Linked DNA regions of Nothobranchius furzeri. The protein of the gene in region 2 interacts with the protein of the main gene of each other region in a biochemical or structural test. Links are inferred from orthologs where the notes say so. Each region holds a gene or a part of one and is shown on either strand. Other genes may lie near its edges.

The links. The genes of interacting proteins can lie anywhere in the genome.
Region 1: the proteins of nup155 (region 2) and gle1 form a complex in vitro, tested with the Homo sapiens proteins (2 studies listed by BioGRID). The link is inferred for Nothobranchius furzeri from reciprocal best matches to the Homo sapiens genes NUP155 and GLE1.

What each region holds. Positions count from the first base shown.
Region 1 is NC_091750.1:38,705,332-38,709,522, reverse strand, and holds part of gle1 (mRNA export factor GLE1), read left to right. Parts: intron 1-931; coding exon 932-1,080; intron 1,081-3,238; coding exon 3,239-3,299; intron 3,300-3,525; coding exon 3,526-3,759; intron 3,760-3,931; coding exon 3,932-4,151; intron 4,152-4,191. UniProt on the Homo sapiens protein: Required for the export of mRNAs containing poly(A) tails from the nucleus into the cytoplasm. May be involved in the terminal step of the mRNA transport through the nuclear pore complex (NPC).
Region 2 is NC_091746.1:53,447,874-53,452,064, reverse strand, and holds part of nup155 (nuclear pore complex protein Nup155), read left to right. Parts: intron 1-187; coding exon 188-291; intron 292-429; coding exon 430-563; intron 564-638; coding exon 639-830; intron 831-1,056; coding exon 1,057-1,195; intron 1,196-1,269; coding exon 1,270-1,405; intron 1,406-1,488; coding exon 1,489-1,642; intron 1,643-1,732; coding exon 1,733-1,837; intron 1,838-4,131; coding exon 4,132-4,191.

The sequences.
Region 1 (4,191 bases), on a different chromosome or scaffold from region 2:
TTGGCATTATACTAAAAGATAAAAAGAATGAATTTCTAATTAATAATCTCATAATCTTAACAAAATTTTTCATACACAAATGCCGATATCTCAAAAATCCACCTACGTGGAATAATCTCAAAAATGAAATTAAACTGCTGTTGAGATCCTTAGGTAAAATGTCCACCCCCAATGCTATAAAGCTTTATGATTTCATTATGAACACTAATCTCTAACTGCTTTTTGGATGGTATACACAATAGACCTTGTTTGCTCTTTAACTTCCCCCTTGTAAAACTTTATTTATATACATATAATTTGTTTTTTCATGTTGTCTTACTTGTATCCTTTCATGTTCTATTTTTGTTTTTTTTGTGGTTGTTATTTTTGTTTATTGTCTTCTTACTATACCAAGTTGAATTGTATCCACAAAATGCAAGTTGAGATGAACACGAACTTCGGAGCTACTCTGTAATGTCATTCTGCTAACAAATTTTGAAATGTAGTCGCTTTTGTTCGTTTTGCAAAGGTTCAATAAAAGTTCTTAAAAAAAGATACCTCATGTTAAACAGTTTGGACTGTTTATTGAATTGTCCTACAATAATTTCAGTCTAAAAAAGTAGGTAATATCGTTTGACTGAAGATATCGTATTGTCTCCCTTGTATCGTATCACTAGAATTTCACCAGCACACATCCCCACCTGCTAGTTGTCTGGAAACCTGGGAGGATAACCAAAGTCTTAGATTATTTTATTTTGCCATTTTAAAGAACTGTAAAGATGCATTTGACGGGTTAAAAAATGACATTCACTGCTTTGATTATTTGTAAATAAGTCCAGTTGTCTTAAGAACCAGCAATTTAAATATTCTAAATAGTCTGACACAGATGACCTTTCAAGGCTATGCTTTTAGTGACCGACTGTCCTGTTTGTCCCGTGTCCTCCCTGCTTAGATGGCGCTCAGGTTGCGACAGGAGGAGCAGGAGAAGCTGGTGGAGGCTGCTGCCAACGCTGAGTCAGAGCAGCTAAAACGCTTTGAGGAGCTCATGGAGCTGAAGCAGAGGCAGGAGTTCCAGAGTATGAGGGACATGATGGACCGAGAGTGAGCACAGAGCAGCGTGGTGGCCAACACCTCTAGTTTTATGTTTCTGAGTGTTGTACGTGTGACCCAAACGGTCTGGCTTTCTGGAACTCTCTCCTCCAGTGGACTCAGTGGTCTCCTTTAACAAGCAGCTGAAAACTCACCTGTTCAGGCTTTGGTGTGACCTTTGTCACCACCCTCTCCTTATTCTGCTCTTTCTACCTATTCCTGGGATCCACTGATTTCCCTCTTTCCTGTTCGTTTTCTCTCTCCCTTTCCTTCCATTCTTTAATCACAATATTTTTTCTCATTTTAAAGAGCAAGTCACCCCCTACCAGAGTATTGCTCCGCTCCCACTTCATGTTTGAAAAATGCAACAAATGCTGTTGTCTGGGAGACTGAGAGGGCGGAGCCACTAACAAAAACACACACACACACAACATTGTGACATCATATGGTACCAGCTAACGTTCTAGGATACCTCTTAGCCAATAGCGATGGCAGATTTAGATTCAAATGCAGTGCAGAGTTTTTACCTGACAACGGCACAACACTGACAGTTTTAGGCAGAACATTTAAATTTGAACTAAAATGCACTAAAGTGCAAAACTATTGACTACACGTGTCTGCAGCATGATTAGACATGCATTTATATAGTTTATCAGGGAAAAAAAGTTGATTTGGGGGTGACTTGCTCTTTAAATATACCGTAAATCCTCTAATGCAGGCCCGGGCCTGTATTTGACTCAAGCTCATCAAGCTCCAGGCCTTTATTGGAAGGAGGGCCAGTATTAGAGGCATGCCTCAATTTCTATTTGAGCAAAATGAGCTAAAGGTTCGCTGGAGTTTTTGACAATTAATATTGCGCCCACATTTTCAAAGTTAAACACATTTCTTTTAACAACGGTAGTTTCTGCTTCAGCCATCTCCCCCCTGCGCAAACTCACTGATGCGCCTGCAGCCTCTCAGAGTTCCTGCTGCTCTAAACATTAAAATAATTATTTCATTTTCTGTTCCTCACTTCTGATTACCTTCAATGGTGTCTGTTTGTTGCAACCACCAGGTACAAAAACTAACTTGTTTTTATTTGACTATTTTTTTGTCCTGTTTATTATCTTCCTGCATCTCCTCTCAATCCTAAAGAAAAACTGCTACCTGGGTTCATATATATTCACCTCATGAGTTACCTTTGAACTGCAGTTCTAAAAGATCTACCGACCGCAAAAACAGCAGAGTGCTCGCTGCTTGCCGGCCGCATCAGTGATCGGTGCGTCACCGGAGGACAAAACAGGTGATGCGCCCCGATCCACAGCAGCGAAAGGCATCAGGCACAAATAAAAGAAAAAAAGACAGAAAACATAAAAGGAAATGAGCCGACATGAACGATCGCGTGTTAAATTAGTTTTTGAGGTGGCGACGCCTGACTTGATAATGTTACTGTGGCCGTGCTCAGGACGCAGATATCTGGAGCACGTCAACAATCAGAGCTTTGCATGCGCAGGCTGGTTAAGGTTAGGATGGGGGTGAGGGGAAGGTTAAATTGCAAGAGGGTAAAGGTCACAATTTGGTTAAATGTCCGTTTTACGGCGGGTGTCGGTACCGACGCTCTGGCACAGCGCGTTGCCTCCCGACGCGCAGGAGCTTGTCACCTGCTGACAGCAGGCTGCTGTCTTTTCCGTGGACTGCATCTTGCCGGTCATTATCACGTGACAGCGACTAGTCGATGACAGGCATAAAAAGTCACTATAGAGCGGTGAAGTAGACTAGTGACTAGTTCATACAACCCCTGCTACTGCTCCCCGGAGTGTTCTGCAGCATAATCAGCACGTTCTCTTTGAACTTGATATCAAATTTTCGCCTGCTCTTCGTCTCCGCACGGTTAAAGTTACCCTCGCGGTCTATCACTGGCAAATCAAAAGTGAGACGGATGACACAACCGCCCCCCGTACTTGCTTGTTACCACATTCCACCCGGCCACAATAAAAAACCGGCCATTATTCACCTCCGCCGACTCCGACACCGGCCAAAATATGATACCCGGCAGTTAATTAAATACAGGCTAATATTAGAGGATTTACGGTATTCGTAATCTTTTTTTTTTGGTGTGTTTGTGAAGCGCCTCGTGATTTTTATCTTGAGAGGCATTATATAAAAGATAGTTTTCTTTCTTCCTTTTCAGAATCAAAGAGATCATGGGCCGTCAAGAGAAACTGAAGGAGGAGCAGAGGCACAGAACGAGGGTAGGATGAACTGTGTAGAAAGCACACATTTAGTAGATTCTGTCTAAAGCTGAGAAAACAGAATAATACAAGAACAAAGGGAGAAAAGCAGAAAGGCACGTTTAGACCTCTGCAGAATGATCCAACTCTGACGTCAAGTTCTTTGTGTCGGTGTGCGTTAGTATTTATTCACTTGTTCTCTGTGAAAGAATAAAATCCAATAGACGACATTTTCTTTGCTCTTCAGCTCATGAACCTACGTTTAAGGGAGGCAGAGCTTGAGAAGCAGAGGCAGACGGAGGGCAGGGAGCGACTGCGTAACCTCAACAACATCCAGGAGGAGATCCTGCAGCTCAACCAGCTGCTGGAGCCGTCCTCCCAGACCGACTCTGCGCTCTCAGCCAGCAGCCTTGGCTCCTACAGCGCCCGCGGGAACCATCTGTGCTCCCAGGTTTCAGAGGTCGCGAGGAAGACGGCCGAGGTAGCCCCTGACTGTTCAAGCCCTTCGTCCTGCAGACATTTATAGCATAACAGCAGCTTTTCTCCTATAGAATCTCCTTCAGATGCATTTGATTACAATAAAATACATGAACATACACACAGCCCCTCTAAAGTTGTAGTATTTTAACCTTTTTCTGCTTTTCTCTCTGCAGGGGGAGTTCCCCAGCATGGAGGACATGACCGTGGCAGAGCGAACCCTCCTGGATATGAGAGCCCTGATCAGGCAGATGCAGCAGGAGCTGGTCCGAGCTCAGGAAAGAAAGAAGGAGCAAGAGCAGGAGGAGCAGCGCAGGAAGGAGGAGCAGGTTCAGGCACAGCAGGAGGCGAAGAGGAAGGCAGAGCAGGCGGCCAAAGAAAAGGCTCAGAAAAAAGGTGAATTGTTATTTCACTGAGGAGAAAAACGTCAAATACA
Region 2 (4,191 bases):
GATCTGACTAAACATCTTGTTTTTTTAGCTTGATGCCAGCAGAGTTGACCTTTTCGAGCTTTAAACTGATTGAGAAGCTGATGTGAAAACTAGTTAACCCGAGTTTTACTTTCTTTTCATTAATTCATAAACTTTAATAGACTGTCTCTGTCTTTATTCTGGTCCTTTGTGCTTGGATTCTCATTAGCTTCAGCTCTCCAGCCAACCTGCAGCAAAGGCTGCTGGGATTCATGCGTCCCGACGGAGCCGGCTCCCAGCAGGTGCAGCAGGAGCTTCAGAGGAAATACCACAGTGAGTTTTGAACTGGAATTTCATCATTTTCCTCTTCAGTTTTTTTTTAAATTAAAGTTTGCAAACAAGTATAGATTTGTATTCAACTCATTGCTTTGATTGTTAAAAAAATGTTGTTTTCATTCGTTTTTTCACTAGCCAAAGCTCAGGTCTATGAGAAAGTGTCGCTGCAGGGCATCCAGCAGCTAGTGCACCGCTCTTATCAAACTCTGGCACTCTGGAAGCTTCTCTGCGATCATCAGTTCAGCCTCATTATGTCTGAGCTGCCAAAGGTGGGCAGAAGCGCTTTAGCATAGCAAACAGGCGCTGCTCTGATGCTCTCTACTTATTCTACCCTTTTTTTGTAGGAATTTCAGGAGCAGATAAAGGGGGCAAGTTTTAAGGACGTAGTGATCCGAGGGAAGGAATTATCTGGGGCACTCATCACAGGCCTTATTAACGTTTACATCAAAGATAACGCCTCTGTGGACGCCATCAGCAATCACCTACGGGACATCTGTCCACTGCTGTACAGCAGCGATGACAGCATCTGCTCAAAGGTACACACACACACACACACCTTTGTTGATTTTCACCAACACAAGCCACCTTTAAGACTTTCACATTTTAACTGATATATTTTTCACATGTTTGTTTATTTCTTTTAGTTCCCTAACCCTCCAGATCATTTTAGGTGCAACAAGGTCCTGCCCGGACATGATATCGATCAGCTCACATAGATTTTTGTGTCTCGGTAAACTGAATTTGATTTCCTCCCCCTCTTAGGCTAATGAGATGTTGCAGAGCTCTAAACAGATCCAGAACAAGATCGATAAAGAGAGAACTTTAAGGGAGTCTTTACAGCTCTACCAGCAGATCAGCCAGAACATAGACCTGCCACTGGTTTGCTCCCAGTACAGACAAGGTGGGTGGGGGCACAAAACACGCTGCGACTGTCTGTGCTGCTGCCACATCGTCTAATGGTATTTCATTTCTCAGTGCGTTTCTACGAGGGAGTTCTTGAGTTGTGCCTCACAGCGGCAGATAAAAAGGATCCCCAGAGACTCGGGCCCCACTTCTACAAGAACGGAGAGCCTGAGGAGGACAAAACGGGGCAGCAGGCCTTCCAAGAGAGGTGACGCCATCAAAAGGCGGCACTAATGTCCAAATTGTCTGCTGTTTTTCTTCAACGGTTTTCTTCTGTTTTTTTTTCTTCAGACTTTCTTGCTACAAGTGCATCACAGACACCATGCAGGAGCTGGTGAACCAGAGCAAAGCTGCCCCTCAATCTCCCAGTGTCCCCAAGCAGCCTGGACCTCCTGTCATGACCTCTGATCCCAACATGCTCAGCAACGAAGAAGCTACAGCCCATGTGAGTGTTGAAGAAAAGACAAGAGGGTAGTTCTTGCTAATTTCTGTACACAATCTGAATTTGTAATGTGACTTTGTGGTTCCCCTACAGTTTGAGCAGATGCTCGGTTTGGCCCAGAGGTCTCAGGATGAACTGTTTCACATCGCTCTGTACAACTGGCTGATTCAAGCCGACCTCTCCGACAAGCTGCTCGAGGTACTTTTAGGTTTCCTCCTTTTAGGCATGAATTCAGCTTCTTTTAGGGGCTTAAAGGAACCTTTATTGACATGTTATAACCTCTACATGGACAATGTATTTTTAATTGACAAAGATCAATTAATCAACCAGTCATCTTTATTTTTGGAGCCCTTTTCAACAAACTGTCCACAGATTGACTGCTGTACGGCTGTATACTGTTAATCACAGTAAAACATTTAAAGGCATTCTATGCCAGTTTTTCATATTTTTTAATTATTTTCTTGAGCCAGTTTGTGCTAAAATGATCCTTTGAAGGGTTACTCAGATCCCACCATCCTCTGTGGCCAGAATACTACACTTGCAATTTCAGAGTGACTGTCTGCTCCCAGTTACGACCAGAACACACCGAAGCGCCGCCAAGTGGATAGCTCACGAAATTTGCGCACTGTCCGTTCCTTCTCTGTTCACATCAGGCGAGAATTTTTGATGAGCACTACTGCTCACGCCTACTGTTTTTCAAACCCCCACTCCACCCCTGTGCCCTTGGTGCGTGCGTGTGCGTGTGTGTGTGTGTGTGTGTGTGTGTGTGTGTGTGTGTTACCAGTTTGCCTAGTTTGTTGATATCAGAAACTGCGCTGATCCTTCTGCTGTTTTGTAGACCAGTTCCATTCTAAAGGGTTAAGTAAATAACTAGTGTTTGCGGTATTGTATAATACTATTGTACATTTACCTTTGAATGAAAGATATTTGTTTGTAATCACATTAATTAATTCCATCTTTAGCTGTAAAAACTGCATTTAAAATTGTGGAAACGCTATGTTGCTTCAGTTTTGTGTGTGTTGATTTTCGTTTCTCTAGTCTGTTTAGATACACAGAAATGATCACATTTATCAATCTATTTTGTTAATTTACCGGCCTGCCTCTTCTGTTTTGGTTTGACTTCCTGCCAGAATAAAAAATTAGAGCTCACGCCGAAACAATTGCTGCACGGCGCGAGCCTTCGTGGTGCTTTGCAGCTGATGTGACCGAAAGTGCAGGTTAACAAGGGCGTAGATTAGATGCGCTCGTCGTTCCGCTGCGCGTCATTGCGCCTCTGCGTCTGGTGTGTTCTGGGCGTTAGTCTTAGTAAAGTGGAGCTAACACGCTGGTGCTGCAGTCTGCTTCCAGCACATTACCTGCATGTTTTAGATCATGAACAAAGCTGATTTGTTTAATTTAGTGATGAATCACTCCTATAGACATGATGGAAGACTGGGGAGACATTTCAGCTGTTGGATTAAGGTGTTAAAAAGACAAACGCACAGCGAGGACATGAGTGCTCAGTTTTCTTTTAAACCAAACAGTTAAGCAATGTTAAAATAACTTTAAAAGAGTAAACATAGCAAAGTATGCTTCATTAAAAGAATAAACATTAAAAGAAAATTTAAAATAATCTTTGAACAGTTCAAACTAAAGCTGGCACATTTCAGTGTTCAAAACTGTTTATTTATTCATTTAAAATAAAAAACGTGCATCTAGAGGCGAGTTTTAAAGGCTTGGAACTCTCATTTAATCAATACATTTGCAGTGGTCTCTAGTTGGAATGGATGCCTTGTAACTTGTACTCTGGGGAGAAAAAGACCTGGTGCTCTTGTTTCAGAAACAAGCAGTGAGCCAGATCAGAGTTGAGCGTCAGGATTTGGGGTCTTATTTCCTGACTTTTGGACACACATGTCACCTCTGATTGGATAACAGCAGCATGACTCTGTTTTCTCTGCAACATTGATGTTTTATCTCCACAAATAACACAAGCCTGGAGTTCTGCCGTGTGGTGGAGTTGCTAATGCTAAAGATTAGCTTATTTTAGTTGAAACATTCTCTACTGTTTCCTGGACGCTAAACCAACAGCAGCCTTCCCCTTCGTGAGTCAAAATGGGTGAGTCGATGAATGCGAAGTGACAGTGTGATGTAGATCTGTCAGGCTTTTCAAATCCTAGCGTTTCACCGTCTATTTTCTATCAGAAACCAAAGTTGGAGATAGATGTAGGAGACAATTTTCATGTGTAGCCTGCATGAAAAGCTCAGTGACCGATTATATTCAAAAATAGTCATTAAAAAATAGTTTTTCAGTGAACCACACATTTAATGTTCTTTATGTCCGCTCTGGTTTGATGATAAACGGGTAAAATTCGTAAACATGTAGCACTTCAGATAGCTGTTAAACTTCACTTATACTTGCGTGTCTGGTGCCCATAAATGATGTCATTAAAATAAAATTTGGATTCTTTCCTCTCTATTTGTTTGTCATCCTAACGTCTACTGATTTCTCTCAGGTGAATTCTCCTTATCTTGAAGAACACCTGATGCATATGATCAGACAGGACCAGAGTAAA